Linked DNA regions of Drosophila melanogaster. The protein of the gene in region 1 interacts with the protein of each later gene in a biochemical or structural test. Each region holds a gene or a part of one and is shown on either strand. Other genes may lie near its edges.

Region 1 (8,250 bases):
GCCTTGGAGCAGCACACAGCCGTTCTTGAGCTGAGAGTTCAGGCTGCGGAAATTCTCGGAATTGAGCACATACGCATCAGAGTGCAGGATGTTCACCAGCAGTTTGCCATAGCCCAGGAACAAGCGCGGCAAGGTCTTCAAAACAGTTCCCCGGCAGAGTAGCAAACTAGGCGGTCCATAGCCTGAATATATAGGTATTTAGAGAATAACTAGTGGGATAACAATATAAAGAAGTTTACCTGTGATATGATTGTAGAATAGCTTGCTCCACATGGGCGCCACATCGGAGCTGCGCAGGAATTGGCCGAAGTAAGGAATGCTAAATGTATGGCTGAGCGACGCCGTCAGCGGCGAAGCGGCTATTATAAACTTGTACTTCTTCTCCAGAACGCGATCTCTTGTCTGCTGATCCAAACCCTCTAGGCACTCTAATCGCAGCAGATCTAAACCGCCCGGCAGCAAATGTCGCAGTGAGCAAATGGTAGAACGCAGAATGACTGCGTGGGCGAAATAGCGCGACACGTCGCCTTCGCCTTCCGCATCCAGCAGCGAAACTTGCTCCAGTTCAGCCAGAAAACTGTCTAGACTCTCCTCGCACAGCTTGCCCACCTCAAACATGGTCACAGCGTGATTCTTCAAGCCGGGCGACAGATTGCCCATCATTAGAAAAGCGGTGAGCGTGGAGTCGAAGAGAAAGCCCACCCTCTTACCGCTTTTTGGCAAGACAGCCGCTGATATTGCAGCCGATGGAGCAGCCTGCTTTGGGGCACACATATCCTCTTGCTCCAGCTCGGAACTCAGTTCCTGCTCATCGCTGTTGTTCACTCTCTCCTGGGGTGTCGTATTCAGGTTGGCAAAGCTGAAGTCACTCGTGTTGCCATCCGAGGAGAGGTAGCCTATGGAACTGCTGTCCTTATCCTTGTCCTTCTCCCTTTCCTTGGGTGTCTTTGGCGATTTGGGACTTTGGTCGAATTCGAAGCTGCTACTGGTATGCAAATTGTAGTTCAGCGGTGTGATCTGCGGCGTATCTGGCGTTTGCTGCTGGTTGTATCCCTCCCAGCTGGAATGATTCGTCTGATTGACCAGATCTTCTTTGCGATGTGCGAAACCCAGACGGCAGATAAACGATATGGCCTGCTTAACGCTATCCAGTTCCAGTTGCAGCATCTGTGCCAACTCGGCAATGGTCATGTGCTCATCCGCGCTAACGAAGATCTTGTACAGCAGATTCTCAAAGTAGTCCCCGCTCACACGATTCATCACAAAGTTGCGCAGCGGCGGTATGGATATCCTGTCCTCCCCGCTAATGGGCACATCTAAGTAGATCAAACCCTTCCGGTACAGGCTGTGCACCACGTCGTGATCGCATTTCCCAGCCGGCTGGGCTCCAAAGTCAATCAAGTCATCGAGCAGGCCTCTTTCAGCGGGCGACAGATAGCGAATATCCGCTTCCAGGACATAGCCAATGTCCAGTCGCCACCAGGGCTCGATGTGTATGCGCACCGGAAAGCGTGGCAGGAAGTCCAGCGGATTGGGCCGCGACCCGAAGATCAAGGAGCGCGGTGTGTGAGTTTTCATATCGCTAATAAGGGCCAGGTACTCGTTGCGGCCAATGCCCAAGACACGCAGACAGTCGGCTGCTGTAAAGTTGGGCAAAGTATCGTAGCTTTTGTCGCTTTGCAAAAGCTGACCCAAAACATCCAGATAGTAGTTGAAGGGCGTCACCCTCAAGCCCTTGGTGACGATATCGGCCAGGTGGTAGGGAAATGCGCCCAATCCATTGATGCTCTTCTGTATCAATAGCTCGTAGTAGCGTTGCTCCCGGCGAAACACCTTGGCGGCCAGGTTGCCCCGGAACCTCAGCTGATTCTTTAGACTATAGTTAAAGACGAACTTCTCGTAGTCACGCTGATTGTTGTGCAGAACCGATCGCAGGTGCACGGGCAGCAGTTCCCAGGTGACATTCCCACGCACACATTGCTGCAGTTGGTTTTGGCAATTGGTTCCAGAGCCAGTGGTCGCATTGCCACCTCCGCTGGTGGCCAAATCCTCTTGCTCCGTCATCTTGCGACTCGGATTGGTTTCTCCGGCTGGTCGGACTAACTCATTGCATTCGCTCCGGCTACGGAATCCAGTATTTTCTTCCTGCGTATTATTTTTCTTTTTTTTTCGAGGAACGATAGATCCGATAATACGGACACGGTGTTATTGGTTTCATACGTCGACAGCTGATAAGACCGCCGGTGTTTTGCAGCACTGGCGAGCAACCAGTTTTTCGATAGTTCGATTATTATTAGTATTAGTCATAATATCCCTTGGAGTTTCACAATCACGTTTAAAAGTGCAAACATCCAACGGACGTCTATCGGCAGTGACTAACAATACTGTCCGATAAAGAATGTGCCTATCGGTGTGCTGTCGATATCACTAGTTCATCGATAGCACATCGTTTAGAATGATTTTCAATATTCGTTGCTGCCTGCTTCATTCATAAACACTTACGCTATTACAGTCAAAATTGTCAAAACGTTGACGAATTATCGAGCTTTAAAGGATTGCTATCAGATTGCAAGGAAGTCGGCGTTCAGCGCTCGACGAGCGGGCAACAGAGGCAACGGCAGCGGCTGAGTAGCTTCAGCATAAGAATTTTAGGTAGCCGCGACACAAAAAAGGGACATCAACATCGATTTTTTTTTGCTCCCATTTCGTTTTGTGAGTGGAGCAAAATCACTTTCGACAAACAAAGAAAGGGGCGGCGGCGGTGGGGGCGTAAAGTGCGCAGATTTCAGCGAAGATGAACGGTGGCGGGGGTGGCGAGGATGATCAGCATCTGCCAGGTGTTTCCAGGTGAATAACTTCAGCTACTTACGTTGTGGCATATTAAATCTGATTTTCTTTGCCCCCCATCAGTGCATCAGGATCTGCAGCTGGAGCGGTGGGCGGGCGAGCCACGCCCGAAATGAAGCGTTCGGCGGTGCGCAGCCTAATCAAGCGATACTTCCACCAACTACAATCCGGCTGTGGGAACGCCAACTGCAGCAATGCCAATTGCGCCTCCAGCGGCAAGGTGGCGCCCATGACGCCCAACGAGGTGGCCGCCAGAGCACTGCAGCTCTTTTCACAGGATGCACAGCTCTGCGAGGCGTTCACATCGGAGGCCAACAGGTGAGAATTCTCTTAACAAATGGAACTGGGTAGCAAAGTTTCCAGAGCACCGATAAGATTTTCTATAGGTAATTATCTTTCAATTAAATTTTTTCCCATTTTAGCCCCCAGGACGTGGACATGCTTTCGCCGAACGACAGTAGCAGTAGTAGCAGCGGCAGCTCGACAAGCACAATTACCTCAGCCAGTACCACCACGACAACCAGCAGACAATCGCAGTCAACGCCAGCTGCCGTTGTAGTGCCCGTATCCAGTCCATATCTTACCCAGAGTGTGCCGCAACTGGATATCGCCGGCGCTGAACACTCCTCCGGCGACTCGGAACCGTGTACACCCACCCTGGCGCCAGTCCACAGCTTGGATGCCAACAGTCTGATAGCGCTCTATGAGCAATGTAGGGCGGCTGACAGTTACGACAGGATTTGCCACGCAATCGGCGTTGTGTTCTCCAGCGTAGATAGACTGGGCAAGAGCTTCATTCGCAGCGCAGAACCAGCGGCTTCTAGTAGTCTCCAGGAGCTGCTGGCCAATTCACCGGGGGCTTTAAACAAGGAGCAGCTACGAACTTTGGAAGGGGAACACGATAAAGACGAAGACAGTACACAACAGGTGGACGAACAATCAGAATCGGCGGCTAATGCTACTGCTACTGCAGAATCAGTCGAATCAGAGGCGGAGCCCGAAGAAGAGGACGATGATGTGTGTTCATCCCAAAGCAGCGACACACTGGTGGATCTGCCCGGTTTGCGACGAGTGCAGCGTCTCCTTTTTGGCTGTCAAATACGAGCTATAACGGAGAAGCTTACCAGCAGCGTTATTCAGCTGTCTGACTGGGTGATTTACATGCGTACGGATTGGGAGAGGGTCATTCACTGTCTGGTCATCTGCTTTGATCTAGCCACCAATAGTGAGTTTTTCAATTGTATGCCTGGAATGTTTCAAGTTACAGCTTTTCTCATAACCCTTTAGCCAATAACAGTGTGGTGGACATGGACTATCTGGACAGGGTGCTGCCAAAATTGTGCCAAGCGGCGTCGGCCATGCCAGTGCCGGCACAGGCGCGCCTGGCCAGGATCTGGGCTGCTCATTGTTCAGATCAGCTGCATTCGTTGATCGCAGCCTGCCAGCAGCAAATTACTCTACAGGTGCTTTTGGACGAGGAATCCATGCGCGAGAACGAATCCATAATCAGTGTCACCAAAGTTTTAAAGGTATTTGTTAGGTTTATTATGCAATATGGCTTGTAATGCAGTTGGGTTAACTTCTTCTGTGATAGATTGTCTTCTACGCGAACATTCTGGCTAGCGAGCTGGAGCGACCGTCGTGTCGGGTGCCGCTGGAGGATCGAACGGAAGCGGCGACCGCATCTGGCAGCGCAGCAGTGGAGGACGACCTATTCGTCTACAACTCTTTGTTGGAGCCGCACATGCCCAAATTCGCCGAGGATCAGTTTGAAAAGGAGCTGCAGGTGTCGGCAATCGATTGCCGGAAACCACTGATACCACTTGAGGAGTTCTACAACGAGGCACTCAGTGAAAACATTCAGATGCACCACGACTACCTGTCCTACAAGACGTTAGCCATGGAGAGCGAGATTGGTTCCGGCCACGCGAACTATTTTTCGTTCATGCTGTACGCCTTTATCCTCACGCCGTCAACAAAAGTGGATGCCTTGTACTATGACAGTCGAATGAGGATGTATAGCGAGCGCTACTCCTCCCTTCACTCCATCCTCAACAATATTGGCCAGGTAGGACAGGAAGATAATCCTCGGCCGGATCTTAAGCTGACGGTGCGAAGGGACCAGCTCATCAACGACGCACTTATTGGGGTGTGTACAAATGGTTCTTTAGTGTCCTAGTTAACAGGCGTAATTAATACACGTTTAATTCCCCAGCTGGAAATGGTGGCCATGAGCAATCCAAAGGATCTCAAGAAGCAGTTGGTGGTGGAGTTTGTCGGCGAGCAGGGGATCGATGAAGGCGGCGTATCCAAAGAGTTCTTCCAGCTAATCGTGGAGGAGATATTTAACCCGGCTTTTGGAATGTTTATACAGCAAGAGGAGACCAACAATATGTGGTGGGTATTCAATTGGGATAAATCTGTTCAGTTGAACTATATAAATATATATATATACATATGCAGGTTCAATGCCACACCATTTGAGAACGGAGCGCAATTCACTCTGATTGGTATAATTATTGGCCTGGCGATCTATAACAACGTCACCCTGGCCGTAAACTTCCCCATGGTGGTCTATCGCAAGTTGATAGGCTATTGCGGCACGTTCGCAGACCTCAGCGACTGGAGTCCGGCGCTGTACAAGAGTCTGAAGTCCATGCTGGACTATCAGGGCCAGGATATGGAGGAGGTATTCGAACAGACCTTCAAGATTAGCTATAGCGATGTTTTCGGTGATGTGGTACAACACGAACTGGTGCCGAACGGCCAGGATGTACTGGTGGGGCAGCACAACAAGGAACTGTTTGTCAACCTGTACAGTGATTTCCTGCTTAACACGAATATCGAACAGCAGTTCAATGCTTTCCGCAAGGGCTTCGAAATGGTTACGGACGAATCGCCACTGAAGCTGCTCTTCCGTCCAGAGGAGATTGAAATGCTGGTCTGCGGCAGTCGTGTGAGTAGCTAAATTCAAATTACGAAATTCATTCGGTTGCTGAACTCTGAAACCTTCGGCAGGAATTCGACTTTGTGGAACTGGAAAACTCCACTGTGTACGAGGGCGGCTACACGGAGAAGAGCCAGTACATCCAGGACTTCTGGAGCATAGTGCATGCGATGCCCAGCGAGGACAAGCACAAGCTGCTCGAATTCACGACGGGATCGGCGCGTGTTCCGGTTGGCGGCCTGAAATGCCTGCGTCTGCTAATCACGCGTCACGGTCCGGATAGCGATCGGTTGCCTACCTCGCACACCTGCTTCAACGTTCTCCTCCTGCCCGAGTACAGCAGCCGCGAGAAGCTGGAGGAGCGCCTGATGAAGGCCATCAACTACTCGAAGGGCTTCGGCATGCTGTAGACTATGGTCCAAACTGCAAGTGCAAGTCTGTCATCTGGAACTGATACCACCACCTCTCTGGGAAGAAGATTTCGAAGACTTTGATCGGTTTGAGTTCGTTTTGGGTTCTGCCATTTATTTTTGATACGACCTGTTCAATGAGACAATATATACATACCCAATATATGTGCTCAATTTATATGGTGCGACGGCGAAGCGAGCAGACCGAACGGACACGCGATTTTGTTTCCCTTCTTTAGCCCAGTTAATTGTACATAAACACACACATAAACACGCCACATACTACATTATGTGAACTTACCCTAGGAACAACACCCACATTTAAAAACAGTACGCGCTGAATATTTTCCTAAATAAATTTAAAGTAGTTCGGCGAAGAAACAGATGTATTTTCCATTTAGATTGGTTTTCGCAAGTATGGAATATTTTTTAATATTAGATATTTTTAATTTAAACTAAGATTACTAACAAATTAAAATTGTGGAAAAAGATTCATTTAAATTATATTTACATATTTAATTTAGTATAGAAACATCAAATACAAAACATTTTGTAAGCAATATTTCACACTAGCTGACATTTAAATTTCGGTGTGAAGTACTTTTTATTTTTTAACTTAAAAAATAACTTGTTAACTTTATTTTTTATTTAGTCTAGACACATTTAAAAAAAAAAGAGGTGTGAAAGCCTTATTTCACAACAGCTGACTTGGGACTAGTGGATTTTTTAGGCCCTTTTTTTCAGGCGATATTTTCTAACGGCTTAGCCGCAGCCACACATTTGTTATTCGCGTTTCTGAGTTTCTTGCGGGTGGGACTCCCGATATTTTGTGGAGCGGAAGGTGTTTTGATTTCCTTAGCATTTAGCACAAAAAAATGCAACTAGTATAAAGTACTGTTCACTATAACAATTTTTAACCACCGATAGCGAGTGCTTCACTGTGTGTGCGAGTAAGAGAGAGAGAGAGCAACTAGCTCCAGCATCATGAGAATACAACAAAGCGCCTTGTTGTTGTTGCTGCTGGCCGTGACGTCGCAAGGAGATGCCGAGTCCAATTGGAATGGTTTGTTCTTAATTTCTAACTAGAATGAGTTCATCAGCAGCCATAGAAAATTATATTGCATTCATGTTTTCATATTTTTCGATCTTAAGTGCATTCCACTGCCGTACTTATTACACAAATGCACAGAGATAAAAAGGGATGTGATGCGGTTGGTTTTTTCTTATCATTCTTGATAAGAAACTAGAACATCCTTTTCTCGTTCAAAACATAAAAAGTCCGAAATGTAGTTTCCCCTTACTTTTTTCTGTGTATGTGCAGTACATATCTCAGAGAATTTGTTTATGATCCATATACCACCCGACCACATCTCTCCTTGCCTTTTAATTTGCTTTTGTTTTCGTTTCGCTTTGATGCTGCGGTCGTTTACTCTGGAATTGCTCGGAAAACGGAGCAGATGCAGATTCAAGTGTTCAGATGCATCTGCATCTGAGATGAAAGATACAAAATGGTTCTCAAACAGCAAATTCGTTTACACATTCAGAAATTAAACTGCTTTAAACAAGCCGAACTTGTTGTCTAACATGTATTCGTTATAATTTAATGACTTCAGACAATACAATATCATTTTGTTGTATTCTAATTAGAACCCAAAACTAGAATACAGTAGAGCTTACGCAAGTTCAACGAGCAATATAAGAAACTATTAAATTTATGTTAAATTACATTAATTAAAAATAATCCAAAAGTAATGACTTACTTTCTATTAATCTTTACTATTGATTCATATATATGTTAATTTACAGACAAAATCAAAGTGTTCACTGTGGCCACTGAACCCACCGATGGCTATACTAGATATATTCGATCTGCACGAGTCTACGATATTGAGGTGAGGATTCGTATTAATTAGAGCATTTTAAAGTCGAGACAAGAAATTGTTTCACACTGTCTATCTAATATCTATGAGCTGCTATAGTTAGGTATTATGGTTAGCGGAAAAAGAATTATAAAGCGGTTGGAACTTTGAAACTTGACAGTTCATC
Region 2 (6,422 bases), on another chromosome or scaffold:
AAAATGATGCACTGCGAGAAATTATTATGGAATTGTATAAGTGGTAGGGAAGTTCCATCATATAAAACAAGTGCATATGGCACGTTAAATGCAAGTCGAAAATTGATTTTTTAAAGTGTGTATGAAATGAGGCCCAGCTGCAATCAGCGGGCCAACTTGTTGTAAACAAATTGAAGTGGCACTCAGTGATCCCCTGCTCCGCCGCTCTTCTTCTTGTGTTGGCCATTACCAATTGCACTCGGGTTCAACCCTTACCCTCGACCATTCCCCATACCCAATTCCCTGGGGATCGAATTGGATGGGATTGTATGGACGGAGTGGTATAGGATGGTATGGCATGGGGACGTGCCTTCATTAGGCCATGCAGAGCGCGTAGGCAGAATGTGTAAACACACATCGATTTCCATTCCGAATGCGTCTCGTGTGCTATGCGTAATTTTAATTGATTTCATTTACGCATTTTTGACTAATGTTCACACGCCGATGCATCGGACTGGCGGGGGGTGCAGCTCATTTAGCATGGACTCGGCGCGTTGATGGACAGAATCCAACTCCAAATGGCTGCATCGGGGAATTTATTTTTGGCCCTATCGTCCCACTCTCGCATCCGCCGTTCGCCTGGTTTTCCCCACCCAGAAAAAAAAAAACCCAAAATCTGTAACATAAATTTCACTTTGATCTATTTTTGAGTGGCCAATGCAAGTTTGCTAAATTCTGTTCAGCAGAAGGAATATTTAAAATTTTTAATTGCTACTAGAGTGCGCGCACTCAGCGGCGACGACCCAGTTTCAAAACATCTTTGCTGGCCAGAATCTCGACTGGGTTAGGGGATTTCTAATGGTGGTGAAAAGGAGGGAGCACTAATCTCTAGATAGCATTTTTATGTTACGAAATATACAGTTTTACTCTAATTAATGTGTGTGACACATACTATTTTTAGCCATCTTCATGCATAAGCATCTTATAAAACAGCAAAAACATGGTATTACATGTAGGAAATGTGATTCACTTTCGCTAAACACAACTTTAAACGCACCCCCACTTTGCTAATTGCCCATTTTGGCTATCGTAACTCCTATTTTACTTCACTTTTGATTGCCTTGGGGTTTTCTTCCCCATTCTGCCATCAATCTCCAAGTTGACATCCCAACCACGAGCGATTTGGAAAGAAACGTGTGACTTACCGAACGATAAACTGAAAGTAAACCTCCAAGTTGCCTGGGCCATCAATCAATCAGTCACTTAATATGAATATGAAAATATGAACCCGAACCCACAACAAATGCAATGTGGGTTTATCTGGCGTACATTCGCCATTCATTATTCATTGTGTGTTTTTCCTCTCGCCAGCCAAGTTTTCTTATCTCAGGCAACAATGTTGGCCGCGTTTTTCTTTGGGCCACTGTAAGTGCAACTTGAAAGGCGATTTTTAGGCCATTTTTGCAGTAAATGTAGCAGTACTTGAAGCATTTTGTAGTTGGACAAGGTTCAATGAGCAGGCAAACCGCTGAAAAGCCCAGTTACCCAGACCACACCCAATTGATTTTCACTCACTGACCATCTGAGAGATGCGTTTATGACACCAATCGACTTGAAATTTAAACAAGCAATATTTTAGATACATAAGCATGCCTTGACTTTACAATCAGTTGTTTTATATATTTTGCTTGTAACACACTTTTGATAACATGAAGAAAATTTACTGTGTGAAAAATTGTGAAAAACTTATTTAATGTATGGTTCGTATAAGGTGCCGTCCTAGTGCTTCTTGCGACCCTGGCAGAGAGATTGATGCGCCTTCAGCTGGTGGCCCTTGAACTCCAGGCCACATCTGGGACAGCCGACGGTCTGTTTGAAGAGATTGCACTAGAGGCGCTGACGCGGAGTAAGTTCGTCCTCGCTGGACAGCAGAGTAGTCGAGTTGCTGTTCAGCTCTGTGTAACCGGAGCTGCGAAGAATTCGCTTTGATGAATTTGATTTCGATTTGGTGCAGCGTGATGTGGAAGATCCCGAGGAGGAGAAACGGGTGTCCAAGTCCTTTGAAGTAAACGATGGCGGTTCCAAGCACACCATAATGGTACCGCGCTTCATTTTCTCAAAGCAAATGGGACAAGATACGATGTCGTTGTTGAGCAAGTGGGCTGCACGGTGTTCTTACGCTGCAAGTCTTTCATCAGGATGTCTTCTCCAAAAACATCGTCAATAATGGATTGATCAGCTAGTTCCGTGGCGGCTGTTAAACTGTCATTTGCCGGCCGCCTCATAATCGATTGAAAGGGTATTGACCTCGCACAAGGTCAATTCATCCTCCATTATCTAGCGCTTGATGTTCTGCGTGCGCTCCTGACTGCTCATGGTGTTCCTGCAAGCTGGCATCTTTAGCTCATCCTTTGACTGCGCTGCTTCTGTTCATCAATTTTCTTCATTTTATGTTATTAAAAAATATGTTACTATATGGAAGTGTTTGAATTTACATTAGAATAGCCTACTATGTTTTCGACCTAGTGTCATAGAGGCCTAACATTTTTGCCATTTGGCTGGGAGCCATTCAATTCGTTTGCCATGCAGTCGGCATTTGCTTTTATTTCTACGTAATTGCGAATCTTTTGAAGCGATGCGAACTATATCATCGCAGTACATTTTCCTACCCGTATGCATATTGATTGATAGCCAATTTGCACGTGCTCCACTTTGTGCCTGGGTTTTGCTTATTGTCGCCATGTTCTGCCCATACGAAATCAGTTCCCCTGGTCGCAGTTCTTTGGCTGCACCCACATGGATTGTCACGTTTGTGTTTTGTTTTGCTTTTGAGTTCTTGGAAATGTGTCGAACACAAGAGCCGCGAGTTTTCCACCCAGCAATTTGCAATCTTTGATAGATGGCTTATGTAACTGCCAGAGAGTGTAAGGCACAACACAACACAACACCAAAGTGGCGAAAATATTAGACGCGTCGGGGGAATTACGTCGTTTGGTCTGCGGGTTTCGAGTCGACAAGTGCAAGGCACTCAATCAATTAGCGATAGTCGATAGCCATAGACATGGGCTTTATCAATGCTTCGGTTAACTTCGTGGTTGCACTGGAAAATATTCGAAACTAAGAGGAGTTAGAAAGTCAAATTTTAGCAAGGCACTTTCAGCTAACAAATATTATATTGCTTCTTAAGTGTTGCAAAACTAAAAAATATCGCAAACCCCCTATCGATATCATTGAACTTTTTTTTTATTAATAATGTTTTTATTACTGTGTATAGCGGTTTCCCATAATTTACACCACTCATGTTACGCTAAAGTTTTATTGAGTTCCATTAATTTACGACTTTCTATGGTCGTAATTAAGATTATCCTTTGCTCGCGCTCCGCAATTGCCGCCGATTTTCCATGAATGGCAGCTTTTTATCGGACCTGCACTCGCATAATTCATTTTATCATTTTGACAGATTCGGAATGGAATAGCGACTTTCCTCGCCCACCCAACACGCGTACGAGATTTCAATTGCCCGTCGAGTGGCACACATATATTATACCAGCTCTCGAAATGAGACGCATCATAAATAATAACTAATGTTTTGATAAGACCCCAATGAGCGCCAACCACTTTTTCTGTTTATCAAATTACGTATGAAGTTTGCTCATTAATTTTGGCAAAGTGAGTGTAGGGGAAACATGGGTAGTGTAGCACACAGAAACCCCTGCAGGAGGCCTAACCCCTTTCGCTGAGATTGGGTCTGAGTCGCTTCCGCTGATTTGCACTGAAAGTTGCACAGTGGGGTTTTTGCACCTCGGTTTTGTATCTCGAGAAAGGGGGATTTCTTGGTCTTCAAGTCGCGCTCATTGCGTGGGCTTTGAGCCGTCGAGGAACGTCATCCTCCAAGTCTGTGGCGTGCAGACGACAGAACTAGACGTAATCTCGGCGAGCTGTCAAACAGTATCTTAAAGATGCCTCTCCGACTACTTGGCTGGCAACTGGTTCTGAACGCAGCCGTCTGCGGAGAGGCACTAAATTCTGCGGCCTTTTGACCAAGTTTATGACACACGTTTAGCTGTCTAGTTGGCCCACGCTCATCCGCTTTCAGCAGGAAGAGAGTTGAAGTTGCCCATTCTCCGTTGGTGCGACTCCCCTTTTCCTCTCCATCGCCCCTATGTGTTTCTATTTTCAATTAAGATCTCGTATTTCAGGCGCCCGACAAACGGGCAATTGTTGTTGTTAAATTATTAATTGACATTTGCCTGGCGCCACAGAAGAGCAACTCAAGTGCCAAGACTCCCACCCGCTCTCCCTTTTTTTGTTTACAAATTAGTTACACAGTTTTTCAATTTACTTATATTTCGTATTGCCCGTTTTTCTGTTTGCCCCGTAGGTGAATTCAGTGCGAATGTTCAGCCAGACGTCGAAGCTATGGCCGCCGCCGCTTTGAGTGGCATGGAAATGGGATCTGGACCAGGATCAGAGGGATATGAGGATGCCGACAACGAGAAAAGCAAGACCGTGGAAAATGGTGAGTCTACCATCTTAATAAAATGATTTAAAAAAGCGTGTTATAAATCAGCATCGAATATTTTGCATATCTTATCTTATTTTATCTTATATATAATATTAGTTCGGATTAATATAACTTATGATCATAACACTCGGATGTATAGATCAACAGCAAGTTTATATTTTGAATTTGGCGACCTAAGTTCAACATCCTCGATAGTATAGTGGTTAGTATCCCCGCCTGTCACGCGGGAGACCGGGGTTCAATTCCCCGTCGGGGAGATGTGTAAATAATTTTTTTTTTTTGGTTCGATATTTAATTTATGTTGTTACTTTTTAATTTTCGAAATTTATATATTATTTAACAGTTAAATTTAATAATTGCCTGGGTACGGAAGAATTTAGTTTGTTAAACAAAACAATACATCTGTTTCAACATATGAAAGAAGTGCTACATAAAAGCTAACAAAAATAAAAGCTTCAAAAATGTATAAAATTATTGTTATTGTTATTAACTGGAAAAATATATTGTGAAAAAATGCTCTCGCATCTCCCCGACGGGGAATTGAACACCGGTCTCCCGCGTGACAGGCGGGGATACTAACCACTATACTATCGAGGACGGTGAACGACACTCGCCAAATGTGGCATACGATTCTCGTTAGACTTCGGTTGGATTCCATCAGTGGAAGACCTTCCCTCCTTTGGCATTAAGTTCAGTTTGGAAATTTATTAATAGAGGCGATCGGCTGGAGTCACCCTCGAAAGGTGTTAATGGGGGGAATACTTAATGCTCTTACAAATTATGTTTGACGCGCCTGAACTCGCAATGTGGCAGAGGAGTATCTGTGTGCTTCATAACCTCGTGATTGTGTGGGTAGATTTATGCCCAGCACTGCGTGTAATTATAATTTATCGTTGTTGAAATTGCATAAAACTTTAACACCTCACCTTGGGACCGTGAAGTGCAGCAGAACGAAAAGGAGCCTGAGATAGAATCGAATATGAGTTGGTGCCTGGTTAATTGCACTTCAGTTTTTGACGAAGAGGAGATTTAGTGGTGTTAATGAAGAGGTGGCAGGGTGATCTGTTTTTCGGTTTTTCATGTGTGTATCTATCAGATTTTAATTCATTGCAAAAGTGTGCAAGAACGAAACGAATTCCGAGCATTTTTCCACATGTTGCTGACAACATGAAATGTCTTTGGTTTATTTTTACACACACCCAACAACACGGGCACACAATAAAGTGTCGCCCACGTTGACACAAATTTCTGGTACAATACGAAAATTTCCATGCTGCAGAGATACAGATACGCAGACTGGTATCCATGAGATGCTGGACAGTGCTACCGACCAAAAGACTGACGGAGCAAAAGGAAAAAAAAGACCAAGAACAATCGGGTAGCATTGCCTGACTTTGATTTAGGGCCCAGCCACACTCCAAGTGACATCTTGGACCTTTTCCGAGACCTTCGTCTTTTGTCTGATTTCTGGTGATTTCGTTGATTGGGAGCCTGTTGCGCACATCTGTTGGCCATGTTGCAGTGACCCGGGGTTCACCTCTCTGCAGCTTTGTGTATCTAATGCTCAGTTCTAACAATATTTCCAGAGATACAGTCGGATTCGTTACAGATACAGATACATTCGGCCCGCCAGCTTGTCTGGCCTTTTCCCTGGGAGTGTCGGCCCCGTTTTGTGTTTATTGTATGGATGGAATAGTGTTCCCCTGCCCTCCAGCGTTTTTCACACGAAATACTCGAAAATCCAACATGGATTTTCTATTGTCTGGATTTCAAAGTAAATATGTATGTATGGCTAGAATCAACCTTTAGCCCCCGCATTTCCACTCGAGCGAAAGAGCAAACAATTTCGAGGGGAACAGTGCAGTGTTAATGGAACGAACAAATCGAAAGGTTTTTAGCACAGGTGCTAATTGGACAA
Region 3 (6,631 bases), on another chromosome or scaffold:
TTCTTTCGACATTAGCATAATCGGCTGTAGTAGTAGTTGTGCCGTGGAAATTAAGTTGGCGCTGGATCTGCCCCTGTGCTGCGCCAGAAACTTACTCCGTGGCACACGCGGCGTATGCGCAATGTGCGGCAACTGTTGCTTGGACCCAAAAAGGGTGCTCCGCTTCCGTTCCCACCGTCCCCTCCACGACTCAATAAATATGCATGAGCAGGAGGCCAAGGGGCTTCAATTAAATTTACTCAAATTGCGGTTGACGGGACAAACGGCTGCTGGTGTGCAGCTTTTTTCTGCGTGAAGGAGGTCGGAAATTTGCATGCAAATATTTTCGGCATTTCCTCTGCTGGAAATTTATTTGTTTTTTTTTTTTTTTGTTTTTTGCCCTTACTATTTTTTGCATTTATTATGAGCGTAGGCAGAAAAAGCGGCACAAATTAAGACGCCAGCTCGTTGATGCGTGTCCTGGTAGTGTTAAATTGCGAAATGAACTTAAGTGAAATGAGCAAAAGGAGCTGGAGGAGCACGAGCTTTAATGGCCAGCATTCTGGTCCTTCCGTTTGGCTCCAAATTGGCGGCCTGGATGGGGGATTCCAGGAGCCTGGCAGAGCAAACATGAACGAAAAAACATGAAACGTGCCCAGCCTGCTAAGGACATTCATTACGCAAGCTATGAAGCTGCCTTCTCCGAACTGAATCCAACCATCGCAGCCATACCCACACACCCCCCCCCCTCCACTTCCTACCCATGGGCTTAGTGGGCTGGCCACGCCTCCTATTGAATTATTCCAGTTTTATTTCTCGCCATTTGGCTTGGCACACACCGAGGCATCCGACTCGGCCGTGAAGCTGACTCCTTGCCGCCGGTGGCCCGGTTGTTGAACCACAAACACCCAGACACACAGAAACACTAAGCACCAGCACGCAGCAGAGGCAAAGACACCTGTTGATTGGGCCTTTCAGGTTATTTGAGCCAAAGCCAATGCCAAAGCAAAAGCAAAAGCGAAAGCCAAACCCGAAGACAGTGGCAGTGGCAACAAGGCGATTTCCCCTCAGCTTATGTGGGCTCAATTTTGTAGTCGAGCCGGCTTCCTTCTAATGGCCATGGGATATTGAATCGATTGACGGGGCCGCAGGATGAGAGGGCGGGCAAAAGGATGGGCAAAGTGGAAAGTGGGTTGCTCTGCAGCTGAGCGAAAAGTCGTTTCGCCTAAGCAACCGCAGCCCCTTTGGAGCTGCTTCCTTGTTTGTGCTCGTGTCGACAACAATTGATTTCAAAATATTAATTAACCGGATAAACCAATTGAAGCTTCCGGAGAAGGTAAGGGCAAATGAAACCGTGCAAACTGTGCTCTTTGTAAGAGTGTGCAAATTTGGCATTTCCTTGTAATTGGTCACCGAATTGATCAATTGAATGAATCTGTAGAAATTTAGATGCCATTTTGCTGGGAAGCTAACTTAGATAGAACATGCTAGCCTTCAAGAACAAAATGACTTGAGACATCTAATTATCCTGATTATATTTGGGGTTTAGAGTTGCGATAAATTCAGCTTCGACCAAGTGGAGGTCAGCATTTCGGATGATAAAATGAGATCTTGTGCGGACGGAGATAAGTTTTCCAAATGCCTGGTCGTTTGGAGGATTGTTATGTTTATAGCTCCATTACACTGACAAATTGGAAGATCTTCGTCTTGAGTTCCACATCGTGACTCGTACTTATCAATAGTGTTCTCAATTAAATTCATAATTTAATTATAATCAATTACGCGGTCTGTTGGTTTCGGGCGAACCTTCAGTTGGTGCTTCCAATGATAAGTTGCTGGATAATGATGACGAGGGGTATCAGGTGTATCTTGAAATTTAAGTATAATTTAATTAGTTTAAGTAAGCTGAACTTATAATCTCCAAGATGCGTTTTTCCCCACAGGATCGTCGAATTGCTGAGCCTTCGAGAATCTCTGGCCCGTTTGAAGCCATTCATCGCAACAATGATCAACGATCAATACTGAACATAGGAAATAAATTTGAGAAGATTCAAGTCCAGTTGAACATTTCTTGGAGAGTAGCTAATTTATACGTTTAACGAACGCCATCTACACTTCGTTCTATCTGCCACTTAAAATTATTTTGCTTATACAGCGCCACCTATGTTTGGAATGCAAGAAGACGCGCGTATTGTATTTGGTATTTTATTATCTCTTGAAATTGAATACACATAACTATAACGTTGGCAACTCTCCATATCTGTAAATATTCAAGATGGCAACTATCGTAGTGTGTATATTTTAATCTGGCAGCTCCAGTAATTTTCACGCTTGCAGTTGATATAAAAAGTACATAAAAGTATGTTATTTCCAAATTGAGGTGAAAAATTAAACATATTTTTAACTTGGTATTTTAAATTAGCAATTATTAATGAGAGTATTGAAATCCAAACATATCCAGATATTAATATTTGAAGGTAGCATAGTAACAACTTTCGGTAAATAAATATCCAGGTATATTTAAAATACTTAACTTTTCATTTTAAATAAACCAGACTGTTCGGACTATTGACAAATTATAATAGTAATTTTATTCATAATGCAATATTTACAATTACATTTTCTTAACCGATTGCCATCCCGATTTCTACACCGGCTTATTCGATACAATAGGCCGATAACTCTCCATTTGGTAGTCACGACTTCTAAAATATCGATACGTTGGAATTGTGTAAATTTTCCACATCCCTGGGAATAATCGAGTTAAATTAAAATAACATGGCGTTAAGGTCGGATTACGAGGTGAGCAAAAATAAAGCCTGGATTACGATGAAAACTAAGTTAGTTAAGTGAGAAAATGGTTAAGTTTAAACTGTTGTTAGACCATGACGAGGGAACCAAAAAGAACCAGGGCCAAAACAAATTGGCCAAGTGATACGCTGAGCGGGCGTTGTTTTTAGTGGGAAAAATCGAAGCCCGAGTGCGCTGTGTGGGTGTGTGCGTGTATCTGTGTTGTGTACATTGCTTTTGGTGTTGTTCTTGCTGCTGCTGCTGCTACTACTATTTGTTTTGTTGCTGGTGAAAAAGCGAGAAGCAACGACAACAACAACAAAGCCGAGGCGACGCCCAACGAAGTTTACTAATTTGTTTGCGGGCTTTCGGTAACTGCAAACGGAATCGAATGTGAAACGGGGCGCAGTTACTAATCCTATTGGATCTGGATGGGCCTATATCCGCTTACCTGCTGATCTGTAAAAATAGCCTGGGCTTAGAGCCTGGCTTTTGACTTTTTTCTCGAATTTGTATTCGCTCTCCCTTTCTCTTGCTCTCTCTCTCTCTCTCTGCCTCTCTGTCTCTCTCTCTCTCGCTTTCCAGGTGCGCTTAGCTGGCATGCGCAATTTGCATTTCCAGGCCGACCAGTTTCCCAAATTTTCCACTTTCCCGGCGCGAAAGCTTTTCGCTTTTCCGTGCTTGGAAATCTTCCAGTTTTCGGCTTACATAACCGGTACTGCTGCCGCCCCTCCCGAACCACGCCCCATTCCGCCGCATCTCGCAGATTTCATTATTGGAATCTCGAGCTCTAGAACGAAACTACCCTGCATAACACGTTTATTTTTCCATTTTCCGTGCTTTCCCTCCTTCCGGAATTGGTGTCATTGGGCCGAGTAGTGCGCTGCTAATTACACACACTGGCACATTAGCGTAAATCGACGTACTTCTTACCGTACTTTTTTCTCAGTACGTAGCCCTTACTTTCCCTTCCCTACCCCCTCACCATTCGATTAGTTACTAAATGCCCCACCGATGACGCCACTTAATTACCCCGCAGAAGGTAATGAGTTCTTCGCCAGGGTTGTTGTTTCCACCCGGGCTTTCGGTTCTGTTCCTAGGGCTAGACCACCAATTCTAAGTCCGTATTGCCAGCTCTATTGATTTTGGGGCTTGTCTAAGGGCAGGTCACACACACGCACGCACCCACACACATACTGGTTCGACGGCCCGAAAGTATGCAAAACTATAGAGCAAGCGGTCTGAATCCACTCGCAACAAACAGTGGGTCCAGATATTATTTGTAACGGGAAAACTTGAAAAGAACGCTTAAGACCTCACTTAGACTTGAAAGTGTCTTGTAGAATATATTTAGATATTATTATATAATTATTATAATATATATTATATTGTGCATATTTGTATTGTTATAAAATTAAGTATGTAATTCCAAAATTACGTCTTTATTAGTATTGTAGTGGTATGCATATTTTAAGAATCAAAATAAGTTACGCAAATTATTTTAAGTTTAAAAACATTTGTGGTTGGGTTTATTGGGTTGGGTTTCATACAATTAATTTTATAAAATATGACGCATTTCCCAACGGATTTTCAAGGGCAAATTCTGATGATAATATTGTTGGTGTAGAATACAACGTTGCATAATTATTATAATTCAATCTGCCGGACTACGACATCTTATATCTTAACCCAGTGTGCTCAGTGGAAATTCTATTATGATTTCACGCACAAATCCGCGTAAAGCTGAGTTATGTACGAGTATATCTCACATCCCCCCACCAGCGTTGTGGCTTCGTTTTGTATGCTGACTCATGCGCTTTCAATTGAAGTCAATTTAAGAAAGCACATCAAAAATCATGAAACTACAATCTGACGATGCTCTAAGAACGCGATAATGAAGTTCCCTTCCTCTCAATGTGCGTTCCATAAGTAAATGATTTGGAATTAAGGGCCAGCCAAAACGAGAACTAGTTGGTATATGTATGTATGTATGCATCTACCCGTTTATCAGTCGAAAAATGCAGATAAAGCAATTAAGAGTTTATGGAGAGGACGGCAAATAAGCTGAATAATGTGCTTCCAACGTGGTAATGGCAGGTTCTAAATGCTAACACCCAGGATTTGAATACTATCAGCAGTTATCAGCGTTGACATGTAGTACACACACCTATACTATATATTAACCAGATATTTTGTGCACCCGAATAGACGGGCCCCTTCCCTTTTTGACCAGTTTTACCCGGCTCGGAGATTTTAGGTTCGCGTTAACTACTTAACAGATTGCCGATGGCAGTAAAAGCGACAGTGATAATAATTACAACTGGAAAATACCAGAAAACCGTCCGACAGAGGTGGTGACTTGCTTTCGGCAATCAAAGCGTGGCAGCAAAACAATATTGGCCGTTTTAATTCAATTACGCGCCAATAAAAATCTAATCAACTGACAATGGCAAACCGTTTGAATAGATCTTGTTGGAAAAAGCCATCTACGCTATGTGGGCATCATCAATTGGCGGCCATAATCGCAAGATGTGGAAATTATCACCTCGCCCATTGACTGTTTGCTGTCACATCCAGCACACAGATTGCATTCGACAAGGACTTCGATTTGTTTCGCTGCGGTGTGATATTTGGCACATGCCCAGTTTGCGTCAATGGGTAGGGTCTTAATTACTAACGATTGCATAACCCGCTATTAGGGGTCTGGGCCTCCAGTTTCCCAGGTATCGGTATCTGTATCTGTGCCTTTGCGCTATATTTACCTTTCGTCTGCTTATCAGATAACACTCGCTCGACCAACACTTGTAGATTAAGTTCTAGAGCGGTACGTTGATTTATTTTCGTTTTCGTTTGTTTTCGAGTTGGTCTCCAGCTTGTAGGTCTCTCAAGGTCCATCGATCATTACCCTTCAGGGGTGGCTTAGTTCCGAAGGGGTAGTTTATTGTCCAGCTACCTGAAGTAGCTGAGCCGGAGCTCAACAATGGCTCAATTGTTCCTGTTCGCCACCGGTTCAAACGAGTTTCGGGCGGTAAGACGAGATTTGTGAATCTCCAGAACTCTGAACTCGTCTTGTGTCACGCACTTAATATTGTCTGAACGACAACAATTACCGCAATTACCGCGAACGCATTGTGGGAGGAAGTAAACGAGCTGGGTCGAGATTAAGCCGGCTCCACTGGGCAATCTGTAATGCATAGCTAAGGAAATGACATAACTTTCGAATATTACTCGGATTCAATTGGCCGGTAAAATGGGAAGGCATAACAAATGAATAAACACAAAAAACAGCGGGCGATCCAACTATTCTAGATCGAGTAAATAAATATATAACCCGCAAGAACTCGCTAAAATCGGATTTGGCTGCCACTTGTCCGTGGGATTTCTTTTGGCACTGGAGATCCATAAAAAAATAGCTACATATACCTGCCTGCCATAAATGTTAAAATCTTGGCATTTCGAAACGAAAATGGAATGGAAAATGTTTTCCAAATGATGCAAACAATTGAAAGATTGTTCGAATTCTCGCAGAAGATACATACAGTTGTATATGTAGCTCAATTGTGTGTGAATCTGTGCCTGTATCTTTTGATTCGCACTTTGCTTGTTGCCCGACGCTCCTTAAATCGTCATAATAAATTTTTATTTAATTTAATGCCTCATATGTGACGACAATATCAGCAATTGCCGCCACTTGCACACAAACTCGGCCTGTCCGTAATTTGTTTTAATTTAAATACAATTTAATACGCGCTGCTGACGTTGCCATAAAGCTACTTTTGCAGTCACGATCGCACAAAAAAAAAAAAAAAATAAAAAAAGTGCCTTTTTGGCCAAATGCAAACAAATCGAAATAAGTAGCGGA

The links.
Region 2: of the proteins of Ube3a (region 1) and tkv, one has a biochemical effect on the other in vitro, tested with the Drosophila melanogaster proteins (one study listed by BioGRID).
Region 3: of the proteins of Ube3a (region 1) and Atpalpha, one has a biochemical effect on the other in vitro, tested with the Drosophila melanogaster proteins (one study listed by BioGRID).

What each region holds. Positions count from the first base shown.
Region 1 is NT_037436.4:11,204,751-11,213,000, reverse strand, and holds Ube3a (ubiquitin protein ligase E3A), read left to right. Parts: upstream 1-2,417; 5' UTR 2,418-2,794; coding exon 2,795-2,847; intron 2,848-2,910; coding exon 2,911-3,165; intron 3,166-3,269; coding exon 3,270-4,072; intron 4,073-4,134; coding exon 4,135-4,376; intron 4,377-4,441; coding exon 4,442-4,996; intron 4,997-5,062; coding exon 5,063-5,244; intron 5,245-5,310; coding exon 5,311-5,803; intron 5,804-5,865; coding exon 5,866-6,204; 3' UTR 6,205-6,579; downstream 6,580-8,250. Other genes in the region: CG7600 (uncharacterized protein), read right to left, coding at 1-182, 240-2,064; Plod (procollagen lysyl hydroxylase), read left to right, coding at 7,189-7,267, 8,011-8,096.
Region 2 is NT_033779.5:5,239,445-5,245,866, reverse strand, and holds the start of tkv (thickveins), read left to right. Parts: upstream 1-1,727; 5' UTR 1,728-1,791; coding exon 1,792-1,885; exon of another isoform or gene 1,886-3,168; intron 3,169-3,246; exon of another isoform or gene 3,247-3,648; intron 3,649-4,360; coding exon 4,361-4,498; intron 4,499-4,689; exon of another isoform or gene 4,690-4,761; intron 4,762-5,029; exon of another isoform or gene 5,030-5,101; intron 5,102-6,422.
Region 3 is NT_033777.3:20,946,049-20,952,679, forward strand, and holds the start of Atpalpha (Na pump alpha subunit), read left to right. Parts: upstream 1-2,731; 5' UTR 2,732-2,757; coding exon 2,758-2,781; intron 2,782-6,631. UniProt on the Drosophila melanogaster protein: This is the catalytic component of the active enzyme, which catalyzes the hydrolysis of ATP coupled with the exchange of sodium and potassium ions across the plasma membrane.